3 linked regions of the Callithrix jacchus genome follow. The protein of the gene in region 2 purifies or fractionates together with the protein of the main gene of each other region. This does not show direct contact. Links are inferred from orthologs where the notes say so. Each region holds a gene or a part of one and is shown on either strand. Other genes may lie near its edges.

Evidence for each region. Proteins that work in one complex are often made in the same cells at the same time.
Region 1: the proteins of SIKE1 (region 2) and STRIP1 purify together in Homo sapiens (affinity purification with mass spectrometry; 3 studies listed by BioGRID and IntAct, with this or other methods). This does not show direct contact. The link is inferred for Callithrix jacchus from reciprocal best matches to the Homo sapiens genes SIKE1 and STRIP1.
Region 3: the proteins of SIKE1 (region 2) and STRN4 purify together in Homo sapiens (affinity purification with mass spectrometry; 3 studies listed by BioGRID and IntAct, with this or other methods). This does not show direct contact. The link is inferred for Callithrix jacchus from reciprocal best matches to the Homo sapiens genes SIKE1 and STRN4.

Annotation. Positions count from the first base shown.
Region 1 is NC_133508.1:147,904,788-147,910,417, forward strand, and holds the end of STRIP1 (striatin-interacting protein 1), read left to right. Parts: intron 1-234; coding exon 235-301; intron 302-834; coding exon 835-939; intron 940-1,563; coding exon 1,564-1,768; intron 1,769-3,544; coding exon 3,545-3,792; 3' UTR 3,793-4,524; downstream 4,525-5,630. UniProt on the Homo sapiens protein: Plays a role in the regulation of cell morphology and cytoskeletal organization. Required in the cortical actin filament dynamics and cell shape. Part of the striatin-interacting phosphatase and kinase (STRIPAK) complexes.
Region 2 is NC_133508.1:152,759,686-152,765,834, forward strand, and holds the start of SIKE1 (suppressor of IKBKE 1), read right to left. Parts: upstream 3,641-6,149; 5' UTR 3,564-3,640; coding exon 3,393-3,563; intron 3,181-3,392; coding exon 3,075-3,180; intron 2,312-3,074; coding exon 2,169-2,311; intron 656-2,168; coding exon 542-655; intron 1-541.
Region 3 is NC_133523.1:40,707,700-40,713,166, reverse strand, and holds part of STRN4 (striatin-4), read left to right. Parts: intron 1-225; coding exon 226-423; intron 424-2,571; coding exon 2,572-2,713; intron 2,714-4,569; coding exon 4,570-4,729; intron 4,730-5,332; coding exon 5,333-5,446; intron 5,447-5,467. UniProt on the Homo sapiens protein: Calmodulin-binding scaffolding protein which is the center of the striatin-interacting phosphatase and kinase (STRIPAK) complexes.

The DNA of each region.
Region 1 (5,630 bases), about 4.9 Mb from region 2:
AGATCAACATGCTAGTCGCTGGCTACAGGGGTGCCTTACAAGTTCTCTTGTAGCAGATATTTCCTCATCTTATAGCTGGGGAAACTGGGAAAGACAGTGGGACAGACCAGGTAGATTGCTACTTCTACTCCAACAAGTGAGGGAGGAAAGCTGGGAACTGGCTCAGGCACGGCTGCTCCGCCAGGCCCTTGGCCTTTGCTCATGGTGGGCACCTGGGTCCTCTCCCCTCTGCAGCATTTCTGTCCTGGATTACCCTCACTGCGTGGTGCATGAGCTCCCAGAGCTGACTGCAGAGAGTCTGGTGAGTGGCTGGGTTCTCCTCAGCTGTTCTTTAGCACCAGGGTCAGTGGGTAGAGAGCCTGCCTCCCCCAACAAGACAGGAATAGAGGTGTCTCCCACAGGTGAGGTCACTGTGGAGTGCCCGGCTTTGAAAGAACTGTAAGTGTACAGAAGGGCCAAGAGGAGGGCCCTTGCAGAGCAGAGAGATTTGGATTTAGGGATTAGTTAGGGAGTGTGCTCTTCAGGGGCTGCTGATCCAGAGCTCACTGTAGAGTGCTTCTTTCCCCGAACACTGGACTCAGCAGTAGGAGCTCTGGGGCAGCCTGAGGCCACAGCTCCCAGGATCCTGGTTCATGTTTCCTGCAGGAAAAGTCTAGGGAGCTTCCCTCTTGCCCTAGTCCCCTGCCAACTTCTGGGATGGAGTCCCCAGGCTGCTCTGAGAGCAGGGGGTTCCTGGAAGAGGCCTGGAGGCCCAGCTGTCCTGAGATCGCATGTGAGGGCCTGCTGCAGCCGTGGGGGCTGATTGTCCCTGATTGTCCCCGATTGTCCCTGCAGGAAGCAGGCGACAGTAACCAGTTTTGCTGGAGGAACCTCTTTTCCTGTATCAATCTGCTTCGGATCTTGAACAAACTGACAAAGTGGAAGCATTCAAGGACAATGGTAAGTGAGTCAGTGCAGTCAGCAGGCTTGGAACTTGGAGCTCGAAGAAGAGTGTCGCATTTCATGCTGGGAGCAGGGAGTCCCCAGGGCAGAGCTCACTGGGCCTTTTCCCTTAACTTTGCTGTAGCCATATCCTTGCATTTTAAGGGCTAATTCCCAGTTCTTGATGAGATGAACTGGAAGCTGGAAGAGGCTAAGCCATACACTGAAACAAATCTACACTTACAGAAGAGCTTTTTCCGTGTCGCCTTAATCTTGATGGGTAACATAACCAGGATTGTGAGAATCCTCCTTGACTCTGGGTCTGGATGCCTTTGGGGTGAGGAGGTCCTTGAATCCTCTGATACTTGTGTCTGTGTACACAGGAATATTTCTGGGAAGAATCCATAGCTTCAGATTCCAAAGTGACCCATAGTTAGGGTGACTGACCATCCTGGTTAGCCTGGAACTCTACTGGTTTTAGCATTTAAAGTCCTATGTATCAGGAAACCCTTCAGTCCAAGGGGAACTGGGATGGTTTGTCACCCTGCCCATAACTTCCAGAGGGTTAAGCGGCAGTGTGACCCGACCGTCTGCATTTAGTTCTGTCCTCACCTTGGGCTGCTTTCTGATCTCCCTTCCTAGATGCTGGTGGTGTTCAAGTCAGCCCCCATCCTGAAGCGGGCCCTCAAGGTGAAACAAGCCATGATGCAGCTCTATGTGCTGAAGTTGCTCAAGGTGCAGACCAAATACTTGGGGCGGCAGTGGCGAAAGAGCAACATGAAGACCATGTCTGCCATCTACCAGAAGGTGCGGCATCGGCTGAACGACGACTGGGCATACGGCAATGGTGAGGCTCTGCACTCAGCCAGGTTGGGATTGGGGTGTTTGGGAAAGGTGACATCTTTCAGTCCCTGCCCGTGGTACTCAGGCACTTCTCTGCCCTGAGCTTCCCACCGAGGAGCAGGAAGGAGCCCAGCTCCTGCTTTTGCTGCCTCAGGACAGGCACTCTAGGAAGGACGTTGGGAAGCTACCCAGGCTTGGCATCTCTGATCATGCCCCATCTCTCCCTGTCCCTCCCAGTCATTCATTTTCTAGAAATTGTTTAAAGACTTTGTCCCCTCTTTTCACCCCCATTTTGGCTACCTAAACTCTTATAGTATAGTTCCAGACTGACTTCCCTTCCTCCAGTTCCTTCCCCTCCATCAGTGTCTCAGATTTCCCTAGTGATTCTTTTTTACTTTAATTTTTTATTTTAAAGATAGGGTCTCGCTCTCTTGCCCAGCCTGGAGTGTGATCTCGGCTCACCACAACCTCTGCCTCCTGGGCTAAAGTGATCCTTCTGCCTTAGCATCCCAAGTAGCTGGGACTACAGGCACTTGCCACTATGCCCAGCTAATTGTATCTTTTTTGTAGAGATAGGGTTTCACTATGTTGCCCAGGGTGGACTTTTTTTTTTTTTTAGATAGAGATTCTGTCGCCCAGGCTCTCAGCTCACTGCATCCTCCATCGCCCAAGTTTAAGCGATTCTCCCACCTCAACCTTTCAAGTAGCTGGGACTACAATTGGATGCCACCTCATCCAGCTAATTTTTGGATTTGTTGTAGAGACAGGGTTTCACCATGTTGGCCGGGCTGGTCTCAAGTTCCTGGTCTCAAGTGATCCACCCGCCTTGGCCTCCCAAAGTGCTGGGATTATAGGCATGAGCCACTGCGCCTTCTCAGGGTGGTCTTGAACTCCTGGGTTCAAGGGATCCATCAGCCTTGGCCTCCCAAAGGGTTGGGATTATAGGCATGAGCCACTGCACCTGGCCCCCTAGTGAATCTTTTCAACATGCAGATCCTGTGCTGTTACTGCCCTGAGTAAAATCCTTCATTAGCTTCCTATTTCCCTTAGAATTAGACTCAAACTCTTAGGCAGGGCATGTGAGGCTCACTCGTCCTTTTTCATTCTCCTCCTCTGCAATCTGACCCAGCTTCCTTTTCAACCTTGTTCCCTGCTGTCAGCCCAGCCTCCATCATACCCAGGGCAACAGGCACAAGGAGTGCTTGGTCCTGGCACATGAGCCATGTGGCTCCCACTGCCAGGCTCTGCAGGCACTCTTCCTTCTGTCCGCAGTACCTCCCCTGCCCACCTGGGCTGCTCTGTGTGTGTGTTGCTGCGTTGTTGTGTACCTGGAATATAGCACCATGGCTAAATGACTGTGTCTGTACTCCCAATGCCCTATGAATGTGTGCAGGCCCATGGTGGCACGCAGTACCTGGTCAGGGAGTTGGGAGAGAACGAGCAAATGAGAGTATTGCCAGGCTTCCTGCCTTTGACCCCAGAGAGCCAGGGAGAATGCCACTTAGACAGAAACGTATTGAATACATGGCTCTCCCTCTCTGGGTCTACATAATCCGTACAGTATAAGCCTCTTTCTCAGTACCTCTGTCTTTTCTGCTTATCCTTGACTCTCCTTTGGATCTAGGAGGGAATTCCTGTCATCTTTCTGAGGATGAACTCGGAGGTGTCCTGCTCCTAGTTGACACTCAACATTCCTAGCCAGGCCCCTGAGCTGCAGTGAATCCATGGGGAGCTGCCACAGGGCTTGGCTCCTAACTGTGTTCTTCCTGCTTTGTCTCAGATCTTGATGCCCGGCCTTGGGACTTCCAGGCAGAGGAGTGTGCCCTCCGTGCCAACATTGAACGCTTCAATGCCCGGCGCTATGACCGGGCCCACAGCAACCCTGACTTCCTGCCAGTGGACAACTGCCTGCAGAGTGTCCTGGGCCAACGGGTGGACCTCCCTGAGGACTTTCAGATGAACTATGACTTGTGGTTAGAAAGGGAGGTCTTCTCCAAGCCCATTTCCTGGGAAGAGCTGCTGCAGTGAGGCTGTTGGTTAGGAGACTGAAACTGAAAGAAAGGATGATCTCAAGGTACTTGCAGTACTGTCCTAGTTCATTGCTGCAGAGCTCCCACTCCCCTCCAGGTGGCAGCACAGCCCCACTGTGTCCTCCACAGTCTCTTCTGGGCTTTGGTGAGCCCAGCTTGACCTCCCCGTTAGTTCCCAGGGTCCTGCTCAGAAGCAGTCATCTCTGCCTGGGATCCATTCTTTCTTTACTTCCTCCACCCTCCTCTCTTGGACATGGTTGACTTTGGCTCATTTCACAATCAGCCCAAGGCTGGGAAAGCTGGAATGGGATGGGAACCCCTCTGCAGTGCATCTGAATTTCAGGGGTCAAGCTGACGCCTCCCGAGACAGACAAATCCTTGCTTTGTCAGCTTGCAAAGGAGGAGGGTTTAGGATTAGGGCCAGGGCCAGAAAGTCAGTATCTTGGTTGTGCTCTGGAGTGGGGGTGGGGGGTTTCTGATGTCATTCCAGCCTCCTGCTACATTATATCCAGAAGTAATCGCAGAGGTTCCTGCAGCTGCCTCAGCACTTTGATTTTGGACAGGGATGAGATAGGAAGAGAAGCTTCCCTTAACCAGAGGGGCCATTTTTCCTTTTTGCTTTTGATGGCTTGTAAATATCTATATATAATTCCGTGTATATTCTCCTGTGTCATGTTGGGGTTTTTAATGTGTTTGTGTATTCTGTTTACATTAAAAAGAAGCAAAATAATTCCCCTTGGCTTGTCTGCAGGAAATATGGCCTCTTTTTATCTCCTCCAGGTCTAGAAAGTGTCTTTTTTCCTTCAGTATTGCTGGTCACCGCTTGTCTTTGCCAAGCTCCCCGCCACTCCCATCCTGGGGGAAGAGGAAGGGGGGGTTGGCATTTATCCAGTGTAAGTTAACTCCACAGTAATCTGGGATTGCTCTCGCCCAACTCCAGAGCACTAGGTTACTCTATTGATGAATTGTCCTGCACCCCTGGGTTTGCTGGAATTTCAGTAGGAGCCCCGGGTTTCTCTGGATCCCATCCCTGAGCTAGCCTCAGCCAAACCAGTGTCAGTGCTAGGGAGGGAGGGACTAGGTGAAAGCAAGAGGATCAGCTGCTCTAGGCCCTCCCTGGGGTAGGTGGTTGGGACTGATCGGAAACTTAAGTGTTGGAGCCTAGGAAGCAGACCATCAGGAGTCAGGGCATGGTAGGAAACAGAGTTGGAGGGCCGAGGACCCCACTGTGGGCGAGAGAAAAGCAAGGAGAATCTCTAGTAGGTGTCAGTGGACAGACACCTGGAGCCTACACTCTGGTCTCTAGACTCCTGGTTGTGTCTGCCTCAGAAGATTTTACTGTTTTGATGCTCGTGAAAGGACTGTTTCCTTTTTAGAATTCCTGGAAGCTCTTATTTTACCTGTAGGCAGTTGTTTTATGGGTTCTTGAATCTCCAAGGGGTCTTGACTTGTAAAGGAAACAGTGTTCTGGGGAGAATCTCCCTTTCATTGGGTCTTGTGTTCAGTGCCTGCCTGGCCTGGGACCTGCTGAGCCTCAGGACAGGCATTTTGATGTGCCGGCATGGTTAGGGACAGCAGGGGTGAAAGGAAGCAGCGGACTCCTGGTGCTCACAGTCTGTGAGATGGGAAGTCCCTGTGACTGATGGGCCCTTTATCCCAAAGTAACCTGCACAGGACAAGGGAACTGACACAATTTATGTGCATGATGGATTTCTGGCGATTTCTTGCAAGGACTGATAGGAAATATGTATCCTTGAGATGTCAGTTTGGGAGAGATGGATTTTCACATTCTTACTGTCCCCGTGAAGCCTGAGTCACTGAGCCTGCATCTTCAGA
Region 2 (6,149 bases):
CCTTAACAATTTTATGGGCACACTATACCCCAAACCCTTTTTTGTAACATATTCCTATTCTAATCAAAATATGACATAAGCATAGCTTTTAAGAAATCAAGACTACATGGCTTATACAAGCGGTTCTTTGGCTTTGCACCCCAAATGCAACCACTATTTTATCTATTTCTTTTGGTATTTAATTCATAATTCTAAATAATACATTTATACTGCTATTTCCTGATCAAAGATTTTAGTTAGGTATTACCTATTTCCCTTCTTATTATGGCAGATGAGGATTTTATCTCACATATAACTTCTCCCCTCCACTCCCACTACCTTCGCATGATATCTCAACTTCTTGCCAATACATAGTTGGTATTTCCTTTGATTGCTGTTTACTATATTTTCTTTCTTCATAGGGTATGAAGGAGGAGTTTTAATTTTAAATCATAAACACACAGAAAACATCAATATATTACAGTGATAGGACAGTGAGGGTGTATCTTCCAGACTCTGGAAACTCTGAAATACTGTGAACCCAAAATGACAACAATCTTACCTCTAATTGGGCTAATTTTTCCTGAATCTTACAAAACTGGTCATCATCCACCTGAACTGCTTTCCTCATCACTTCTCCCATTTCACAGATTCTGTCAATCTGACTCTCAATTTCCTGTGGAGATATTAAGGAAACAAAGGTGAAAAAATCATTTGTTCTATAGAAATAAAGAACGTAAGAGTGTGTGTGTTATGATTTTTAAAAGTTCATTTAATCTATGTTACAGAAGTTACAGTGGAGTTTCACTACAATTTTAGTCCTCAGATATAAAGCCATAGTCAAGTGACCTTGTGGTATTCACAGATAATTTTTTTTTTTTTGAAAAATCAATTGTAGTTTAACTACCCATTGGATGTTGGATACTATCTCTAAGTGGCTAACTTAAATTTGAATACGTTAATTGGCAGGAAGCTTATTACATTTCATCTTTGGACATATCACTTAGAAAGTTTATCTATCTGAGTAAACTCTGTCTCTTTCAAGGTTCAAGTTTTTTCCTCCATAAGAGAAAAAATAAAATCTACTTTTCTATTCCAGATGAAAGCCATTCAAATATTTATAAAATATCTGTTTCCTAAAACTTTTAAGTCAGTAAAATGCATTCAATGGAGTTTAAGACGAAGCTTATCTTTCACTGCATCTCACAGTAGCATATAGTAGGCTCCAATCTACACATCTAGATTTAAATCATACAGTACACATGAATGTACAATGACATCTACGAAGCACCTACAAGCATAAGAATAATTACTGAGTCTCTCAAATTAGATCATAAGCAAAGTATAGAAACTATGCCATGCTTGTTTTTTTGTTTTTTTTTTTAAAAAAAAGCATACTTCTCTTCCCTAACAACATGGTATAATGCTATGTAGTTCAGTTTAAAAAATGTTTACTGACCGCCTGCTGTATGTCAGGTACTATGGTAGGAATAAAATATGAATTCATGCTCCTTACAACAAAGGAGCTTAAGTGAGATGTATAAAGAATAAGCAACCAAGTGTTTACTGGGCATCTTCAACACTAACTGGCATTATGTTTGGTGGGAGAGCTAAGAATTAATGAACATCTTCAAAAGAGATCTTGGTAAGGGAGGGGGTACCTTACTCCTACTCAAATAAAAGGACCTGAGCAGCCCCATCCTCCTCCTTTCTATTCATATCTTTACAAAGCCATGGCAAAATCAACAACAAACGTGATAAACATGAAAGGAAAACAAGCTTACTTTTCTTCAAAAACAAGCACACATGGCCAGGCACAGTGGTTCATGCCTGTAACCCCAGCACTTTGGAAGGCCAACGTAGATGGATTGCTTGAGCACAGGAGTTTCAAACCAGCCTGGGCAACACAGTGAAACCTCATCTCTACCAAAAACCAAAAAACCACATACACAAAAATTAACAGGGCATGGTGGTGTACACCTGTAGTCCCAGCTACTCAGGAGGCAGAGATGAGAGGATGGCTTGAGCCCAGGAGGCAGAGGTTGCAGTGAGCTGAGATCGTGCCACTGTACCTCAGCCTGGTCGACAGAGCCAGGCCCTATCTCAAAAAACAAAACAAAAACAAGCACACAATGAACAATCTCAAGATTTCAATTCAGTTCATTTCGAATTTATTCAAAGTTTCTTACTGCAGAGTGAGACTGGTGAGCTTTCAGGACTGGTTCGGCATCCACAGCTTTTTTAGCAACCATTAACTGTAACATCTGTTTCCGGTACTTGCTCATGATGAGTTCCAAAGCATCCTGGTGTTCCTCCAAGGAAACCCAGAGCTCTATCAAAAATAAAATAACTTGGCAGTGATGTCTGAGAGAGCGCTCCCATATCCAAAGTCTTAACAGTTGGAATTTTGTAACACTATAGAGATAATATGAATCCAAAGCTGTAAATCAGGGTTTAAGTCCACAAAACTGAACAGTTAAAGTCTATGTGAAAGATAACTTTCTAGGCAGAGAAGCAGAAACAACAAAGGATATGTCATCAGAAGACACGGGTTTGAGTTCAGTTCTGTAACTTGCTTCGTTAATACTTGTAAGTAAATCATTTAGCGTCTCTGAGTGTATTTCTTAACTGCATTGTAATAAATAGCTAAAAATGAAGATAGGAGAATACAGTAGAATGATACCTGTGAAACCCCGCTGGTAAACAACTAGTAATACTACAATTATTAATAATATACTAATCAAGCCGAAGAATATATACCCTTAAAATAACATTCTGCTGCTTCCCTTGCATGAACAAGAACATAAACAAAACCTTAAACCTTACCTTTAGTGTTTATTTTCATTAATACTTATTAAACATTAAAGTTTGCAAGAATTCAACTCTACTTAGCAGCTCTTTGGTAAGCTGCTACAAAATCAGTCAGATGATCTTGAAAAGGGTAATCTAAAAACCTTTGCTGTTACCGGGCCAGCACAGGAAGACTCGCCTACTAAAAGTACTGACCTGGAAATATATGTACATTTTTGTGAACGGTTAGGGCAATTCTGCAATACCTTTCAAACTATTACCAGATATGAAAAGGCCCGACTAACCTCTGTTTTCCTGCTGCAAGTCTCTAATCTGTGTGTTCTCTTGGGACAGCAGAATGTGAGGTTTGTATTTGGACATGTCCTTCATATCGGATGCATCCTCTTGATACTGGACAAACAGAGACAGACTAAGTAGAGAACAGCGGCAGATGCAACTGAAGAGGCAGAAATCAGCGCTCCGGGGCAGGTTTCTCAGCCCCGACCCAGGAAAAATGTCTCACCGCCGCCCTCTGAGACGCGGAATCAATTCCAGGCCGAGTTCCCACTTTACCTCGCTCTCCACCCTTCAGTGCCCAGAATCCGAGAGCACTGGACTCCTACCCTCTGCCTGACCTGATCCGGAAGCGCCGTCCCCGCCTCCCGCATAGAGGCTACCCGCCGGTGCAACGCCGCCGACTGATCCACCAGTGACTCAGCGGCCGCATCGTGCTCCCGCAGCCTCTCCAGCAGCGTCTTGGCATCTGTCAGGATCTTCTCGATGGTGCAGCTCATAGCAGCGGCACGACCCCACTGGACCTGCCGGGCTCAGCTACGCGACTTGCTGAGATCTGGGAGTCTGTCTCAGCATTACAAGCGTCACTTCCGGGCACGTTTAAAAGGTGTCTTGCGCCTGCGCAATAGCAGTCCCGTTTGCGGGTTTACCCGCTGGAACCTGTGGCTTCTTTGCAGTCCTGCCCAGCGCGGAGCCCCAGACCTGCCCTTGCCACGCCCTTGGTTTCCAATTCCCACAGCCTGCTGGTCAGGCCATGATTAACTGGGCAGTAGGAAGTTCTCCTTTCCCTACTGGTTTTCATCGATGTGGGTTGTTACTCATAGTTTTTATTTTCATTTAATTTTTAATTTAAAATTTTTGTTTTTTGAGACGGAATTTTGCTGTTGTTGCCCAGGCTGGAGTGCAGTGGCGTGATCTCGGCTCACTGAAACCCTTGCTTCCCGGGTTCAAGCGATCCCCCTGCATTAGCCTCCCAAGAACCTGGGACTACAGGCATGTGCCATCACATGCGGCTAATTTTTGTTATTTTTAGTAGAGACAGGGTTTCACCATGTTGGCCAGGCTGGTATGGAACTCCTGGCCTCAAGTGATCTGTCTGCCTCGGCCTCCGAAAGTGCTGGGAATATAGGCGTGAATCACCGCACCTGACCTATTTTCATTTAATTTTTTAAAAATCGTGGTAAAATACACATAAAATTTAATATCTCAGCCTTTTTTTTTTTTGAGATGGAGTTTCACTCTTGTTACCCAGGCTGGAGTGCAATGGCGCGATCTCGGCTCACCGCAACCTCCGCCTCCTGGGTTCAGGCAATTCTCCTGCCTCGGCCTCCTGAGTAGCTGGGATTACAGGCACGCGCCACCATGCCCAGCTAATTTTTTGTATTTTTAGTAGAGATGGGGTTTCACCATGTTGACCAGGATGGTCTCGATCTCTTGACGTCGTGATCCACCCGCCTCGGCCTCCCAAAGTGCTGGGATTACAGGTGTGAGCCACCGCGCCCGGCTATCTGAGCCATTTTTAAGCATACAGTTCAGTAGTATTAATAGCAGTACATTCACACTGTTATACAGCCACCATCAGCATCCATCTCTAGAACTCTTTCATCTTGCAAAACTGAAGTTCTGCATTATTAAACAGTAGCTCCTCATTCTTTCTTCTCCCCATCCCCTGGCAGCCACCATGCTACTTTCCTGAATACCTGACATGAGTGAAATCATACAGCATTTGTATTTATGTAACTGCCTTATTTCACTTAGCATTATGTCCACAAGTTTTATCCATATAGTAGCACATATTATATTTTCCTTCCTTTTTAAGGCTGAATAATACTCCATTGTATTGTATATTCTGCATTTTGTTTATCCATTCATCCAGTGGGTTGCTTCCATCTTTTGCTATTGTAAATAATGCTGCTATTGCAACTGGCTCACATCTGGCTGCTTGCTGTTTAGAGGCCAAAAACATGAGAAGCGAGGTGCGGTGAAACGAAAGCAGTTTTACTGATCACATGCTCGCAGATGGGGCGTGGTTAGGCTCATGCCTTCAAAACAGCATTCCGTTTTTTTTTTTTTTTTTTTTTTTTTTTGTCAAGGTATCCCAGAGACAGTATCAATTTCCAAACTTTTATTTCGTCCCATATCAATGCCAGGGTGATGTGCTACCTGCCCTGAGTCCATCATGTCCCTCCTATGATTAACAGACTTATAGTCAATTAAATGTTCTAGGCCAGATGTGGAGGAAGGTGGGCAGGCACTCTTTAACCTTAAACCCCCACTTAAGGATTGTTAAGAGCCAAAAACCAAAAGCCAAAAGGCAAGGTCACAAAATTGTCTTATCTATAAATTCCGTGCATTGAGCTGCTGTAATCTTGGCTTGTCACAATTACCCGTACAAACCGCAAGCATTTTGTTGAGCTGTGTTGGTATCTGTGTGCCATCCTTGTTTTGTAGGGGCTGAACTAATTTGAGCCTTCAGTATTGGCCCTTACAATATTATGTTTTAGTCTTTTGGCCTGGAGGGATTGAATAGTTTCAAAGTCTGTAGGTAAAACAAAACAGAAAGAAGTAACATTTCGAACACAAAGGTCATAAACCCTGCCTACTTTTGAGAATGACAGGAAAGGAAGTTCATAGGTAGCTAAACATTTAAATGATTTAGTATCAAGGCACTGAATAAATTATACTAATTCAGATAGAGGCAAAATTGTTAAATGAATTGTAATGTTTTTGAACACAAGACTGTCCCTGGGCCTCATGAAAGCAGTTTACTTTGTCACCTTTGCAGTTTAGTGTCAGATACTGACAGGAGTTGGTGCCTTCTTTGGATGAGATATGTGTAAAGCCCTGTAGCTCAAAAGCACAAGGATTAGTTAATATCACCTCATAAGAACCTTTTCAAAGAGCTGGGATTACAGGCACGTGCCACCACGCCTGGCTAATTTTGTATTTTTAGTAGAGACCAGGTTTCTCCACGTTGGCCAGGCTGATCTCGAACTCCTGACATCAGGTGATCCACCTCCTCAGCCTCCCAAAGTGCTGGGATTACAGATGTGAGCCACCACAACTGGCCAAAAATTATTTTCTTT
Region 3 (5,467 bases), on a different chromosome or scaffold from region 2:
AGCAGTGCAGGGAGCACCCTCACGCGACAGCACTGTGCATGTGTACAAGGGCTTCCACTGGAAATTGCCTTGATGGGGACAGCCGCAGTGAGGGTGTGCTTACATCAGATTTTGGTGTATGCTCTTAAGTGGCACCTTACGAGGTCCCCTCAGTTTGCATTGGCCCCTGCGGTACCTGAAGAAGCCCAGGGGATGTCTGACCCATATGGCTCTGCACCCCTGCAGGTACCTGGAAGAGGTGGGCTACACAGACACCATCCTCGACATGCGATCTAAGCGTGTCCGTTCCCTGCTGGGTCGCTCACTGGAGCTCAACGGGGCAGTGGAGCCAGGTGAAGGGACCCCCAGGGCTCCACCAGGCCCTCCGGGGCTCAGCAGTGGGGAGTCGCTGCTGGTGAAACAGATCGAGGAGCAGATAAAGAGGTGAGCCCTTGGGCCTGGCAAATATGTCTTTCTTCCTCTTGACTGCTGCTGAGGGCCAGGGACAGAACGTCAGCTGATGTCCCTGGGTGCCCTGGTGGCCCCTCCTCCTGGAGTATGCTGTGGGCTCCCTTGTTTCAAAATCCTCAGTCTCTTCACTGCTGGGATCCCCTGGATTCTGTTCTGAGTTCCTTCCACACACTTTCCCATGGCCTCATCTCCAGCCCTGCTCCCATCCTGATACTCAGACCTGCATGCTCCTCGGTCATGTGGGGTGCCTCGCCAGCAGGGAGTGGAGCATGTGAGGTGGCCACCCTCGGGAAGCTCTGGCTTGTTCATTGTTTCATCAGTGGTTGTCAGTTAAGCCAAACAAGCGAGGCCATATAGGTGATGCTAAGTGCAGTGAAGCCCACGAGGGCCAATACGTGCTCAGTGAAATAGTGCTCCTCTGGGGGGGGGTGGGCAGGGAGGGCCTCTGTGGAGGTGATGCTTGTGCAGAGATAAGCTGCATGAGTAGAATGTTCTAGGCAGAGGGCACAGTGAACCCCGGGGTCCTGAGGCAGGAGAGGTGTAGCCCATGCAGAAGCAGCACGAGACTGGCGTGACTGCAGGCGGTGAGGCGTGGGCCACAGGAGGTCACCACGGAGTCTGTTACTCGGGCCTTGGGCTGGGTTAGTCTAGATTCGAGTCGGGTATGGGAAGCCAGTGGTTTTGAGCAGGGGAGTGACATAATCCCACATTCTTGATTCGCTCTGAGAAGGAGAGGCTGTAGGAGGGTCCCCTACGAGGCAGGGGGACCGGTTGGGAGAGGATCTCGATGTCCAAGCCAGAGCTGATGGGCCTTAGCAGTGGCGAGGCAAGAGGTGTTCACTTCCCCAGGGGCTTTCGGGCAGTTGACGCTAAAGGACTGCAGCTAAGGGGAGAGGAAAGAAATGGGGGACTCCAGGGTTTGTTGTGAGCCATTGGAGCAGCATCCCCCTGAGACGGGGAAGCTTGGAGTGGAAGTTCTGGGGGCTGCCAAGGTCATGTGAAGCATGAGGGGCCTGTTTACCCCCATGTGGAGATGCGGAGCTCGGGCCCCTAAACATAGCTCTAGTTGAACAAGCACATGGGCATTCTTTGGAAAACCACGGGCCACCTGCAGTGCCTGGAATGAGTGTAGATGGTTAGAGAAGAGATCTGGGGACTGAGCCCGGGTGCTCTCTCACTTAGAGGCTGGAGGGAGAAAGAGGAAGCTGAGAAGGAGGCTGAGCCCATGCAGCTGGTGTCGGTGTCTGGGAGGAAGTACCATGAGAACAGTGTCCCATGTCCCGTGTCCCGCTGGGAGTGCAGGGAGTATTCTGGGCAGGTGTTTAAGAGCATGGAGCGGAGTTCTGCAGATGGCAGCCCTGAAGCAAGTGGGTAAATCTGCAGTGATCTCTACACCGAGTGGTAACTGCACCCTTGGGCAGCTGACAAGACCTCCAGGGCATCAACCTGATGGCAGGATAGGGGATGTTTGCGTCGATCTGTACTTCGAATTCCACCTGCCTTCTCCGCAGTCAGGCTGGGTCAGTACCTCCTCTGCTAAAACCTGTCATGAAGTTGGAAGCCAGGAGGTGGAGGGAGGAGTGCCATCTGTTGCTGAGGATAGTGCAGGCTCCTGAGTAGCAGGGATCGCCGGCGCCCCCGCTCATGCGAGGCTGGCTGGCTCTTGGCGCCTTGCTGAGCATTTGTAGAATGGCCGCTAGTCTTTCCTGCGGGACGATCTGCCTCCTGCGGGACGATCTGCCTCCTGCGTGACCTGCTCTTGTGGTCTGACCAGGCTGTCGGAATGGGGACTCTGAGTCAGTGGCACTTTCTCATCCAGCTTTCCTCCTGACTCGGCATAGGATGGAGATTTGTGGCCAGGGTTGGGGGCTGGCCCTCTGGAACTCGGGTCGGAGGTCAGTGAGGACTGTCTGTGGTCTAAGTGAGGCTTCCAGTTGGAATGAGCATTTGTTGGGCAGAGGCTGGGGTTGGGGCTTTGTGTCTGACCAGAGTCAAGGCTTCTCAAGGTTTAGGGGGTTAGTTGGGTCTGGACTCTGGCCACCAAGCCTGGGCAGGCACCTTCCCATCTGAGATTTGACACCTGGCAGGACTCATCCTCCTCTGCTCTGCTGTCTTGGGCAGGAACGCGGCAGGCAGAGATGGCAAAGAGCGCTTGGGCAGCTCGGTGCTGGGGCAGATCCCCTTCCTGCAGAACTGCGAGGACGAAGACAGCGACGAGGATGATGAGCTGGACAGCGTGCAGCACAAGAAGCAGCGTGTGAAGGTGAGCCCCTTCCTCCACGCCCCCGAAGCCTGGCCGGCTGCTACCTGGTCCAGGCCCTTCCCAGAGTTAGCTGGGGCCTTCAGGGCCTACACTGTGTCGGCAGTAGGGATGTGGAGACACACAGGCCCTAGCCTGGAGGAGCTCTGGCCAGCAGCGGCCTTGTAAATAGTAGTGTGCAGAAAGACACATTGTGGTGGAGGCTGGGGCCTGTGCCCATGAAGGAGGGACCTGCGGGAGATGGCCTCGGGGCTTTCCCTGGGCCCTGGCCTTCCCACTAGCGGGCCCCTTCGCCTGGGTCCCCTTCCTTTCCTCCTTTAGACTCAGCTCAGGTACCCCCCACCCCCCAGGAAGCCTTCTTTAACTCACCCTGGGCCCCCTTCCCTGTTCTTGGCCACTCTGGGGTCCTCCCTGTCTGGTCTGGGAGGGACTGGGTTTGTTTGGGCCTCCACTCCCTCTCCAGTGTTCCCAGTGTGGCTCAGCACAGAGTCACACCCCAAATGGAGTGGTGTGCACGGAGCTGCAGCACTGCAAGAGGCCTAGAGGAGGAGCAGGAGGGCCGAGTCCAGGGCCTCAAATGCTGGCCCCTGGTCCAGACGCTGGCTCCTTCCTGCCCCTCTGGGAATTTCCAGTCCTTTTCCACCCTCCACCTGTCCCTTCAGGAATCATCCGTGGTGTTTACAGCCCCACAGGCCTGCACCCTTGGGGCTGGCTGGTTGTGTAGGGCTCTCTGTCTCCACACGGCAGCCCTCCAGTGAGGCCCAGCTGGGAACCCAGGGGACTGCCCCTGTCTCCCAGGTGGCCCCAGCCCAGCTGCATGAGTTCGGGCCCACGCTGCTTTGTCTTGGCTTCAGTCTCCTCTCCCTTCAGATCGGGCTGAGTCTCTGTGTCTGGTAGTTGAGGATTCATTAGAAATAGCTGGTGCCCAGGAAGCCCTCAGCTGCACGGTGGCTGTCCCCCAAGTGCTCATCAGGTGTTAGTGGCGCTGGTGGCATTGGTGTGGTGGAGCTCTCATTGTTCCAGGCACTGCTGGCAGAGCACCATTGCGGCTCGTTGGTGTGCCCCTCAGAGCGCCCAGGGCAGTTCCCTCCTCTGTAGTCCTAAAGCCCCCTCCCCATTCTTTCCCCAGGTGTTGAATAAACCTTGACCATAGTTCTTCTCCATGTCCCGTCTGTCTGGTCCCCCCATGCCGGTCAGAGGCTGGCCCCTCACTGGTGCCCTAGAGGTGTCGCCAGACTTAGCCTGGGTGCCGACATGTGGATGGGGCCAGCCACACGATGGAGGAGTTGACGGTGGGCTGAGCTTGGCCTTGATGACCTGGGGCAAGTGGGTTGCCCTACTCAGGCTCGGTCTCCTGGGCTGTCATGGGGAGTGATGAGAGTGTTCACGGTAGCTGCTCACAGGGGTGGGGTTAAGTAAAGCCGTGTCTGCGAGCGTAGTCAGTGAGTGGGATTTGCTCTTGAGCCTGCACAGAGGCCGCTGCTGTGTTTATGGTTGCAATGCTGTGGTCTGTTTGTCCTCACTTCAGTTTGCACCTCCATATGCTCACACACGGACACCAGTGCATATCTGCTCTCCCTGAAGGCAGATTGTTGCATTATGTGGCTTTTCTTCATTCAAGGCTGGGTGCTAGGGGACTGGAACAGGCTGAGCTGGGTGGGGCCAGACCAACCAGCCCCAGTGGTAGCAGCCGTCCAAGACTCCGGCAGGGGGCGCTCCAGGGCAGCCAGCTGGTGGCTGAGGCAGCCCCATGAGCAGAGACAGGCCCGGAGCCCCAGATTATCTGTTCTCAGGCATGGGGGTGGCTTAGTCTCTGGACAAGAGGGCCCCTGACTTGTCTGGCTTTCTCTATGCCCCAGCTCCCATCCAAGGCCCTGGTGCCCGAAATGGAAGACGAGGACGAGGAGGACGACTCTGAGGATGCCATCAACGAGTTTGACTTCCTGGGCTCAGGAGAGGACGGGGAAGGGGCTCCAGACCCTCGGCGGTGCCCCATGGATGGGAGCCCCCACGAGCTGGGTGAGCTCAGATTTTCTGGCCAGGCTCCGCTTGCTTTCCCCACTGAGGGGCGGGAGCAGGCCCAGCTGCCCACAGCTGCTTCCTGTGCAGGGTCTCTCCACCGGACGGATACGCTTCCTGAGAGGAGGGTAGCCAAGGAGAGCAGGAGGCCCAGGCCATGGTGGCCAGCCCCTCACCTCTTCCCTGGAAAATCCCCGTGGAGATGCAGGCAGGCCTGGCTCTTCCTGAAGCAGTGCCGCCAGCCTTCTAGGGCGGGCGTCTAGCTCTGGCCGGCCTCAAGGAGGGAACAGGATGAGGACCCAGTGGGGGAGAAGCAGGTGGGAGGGCTGTGTCTTCCTCCTTGTCTTGTGACTCCCAGCTAGGAGGGCCCTCAGGTCACATGGGATGGATGGCTGGGGCCTGAGGCCCAGGCAAGGCAGTGACCTGCCTACTGCCCACGGAGGGGCCCAGTCAGCTTCCCCTCCTCTGCCCATAGCCCCACTGGGGCCAGAGCTTCACAGCCCCCCACAGTAGCAGGGGGTCCTTGGTGTGGGAAAGGCATCACCTGCAGCAGGCTGGGTTGGAACTGCTAGGCGACTCCGGCCCTGTTCCTTGATCCTGCAGAAAGCCGTCGGGTCAAACTCCAAGGCATCCTGGCTGACCTGCGGGATGTGGATGGGCTGCCGCCAAAAGTGACCGGCCCACCTCCTGGCACACCCCAGCCCCGGCCACACGAAGGTAAGAGGCACCCCCCACCTG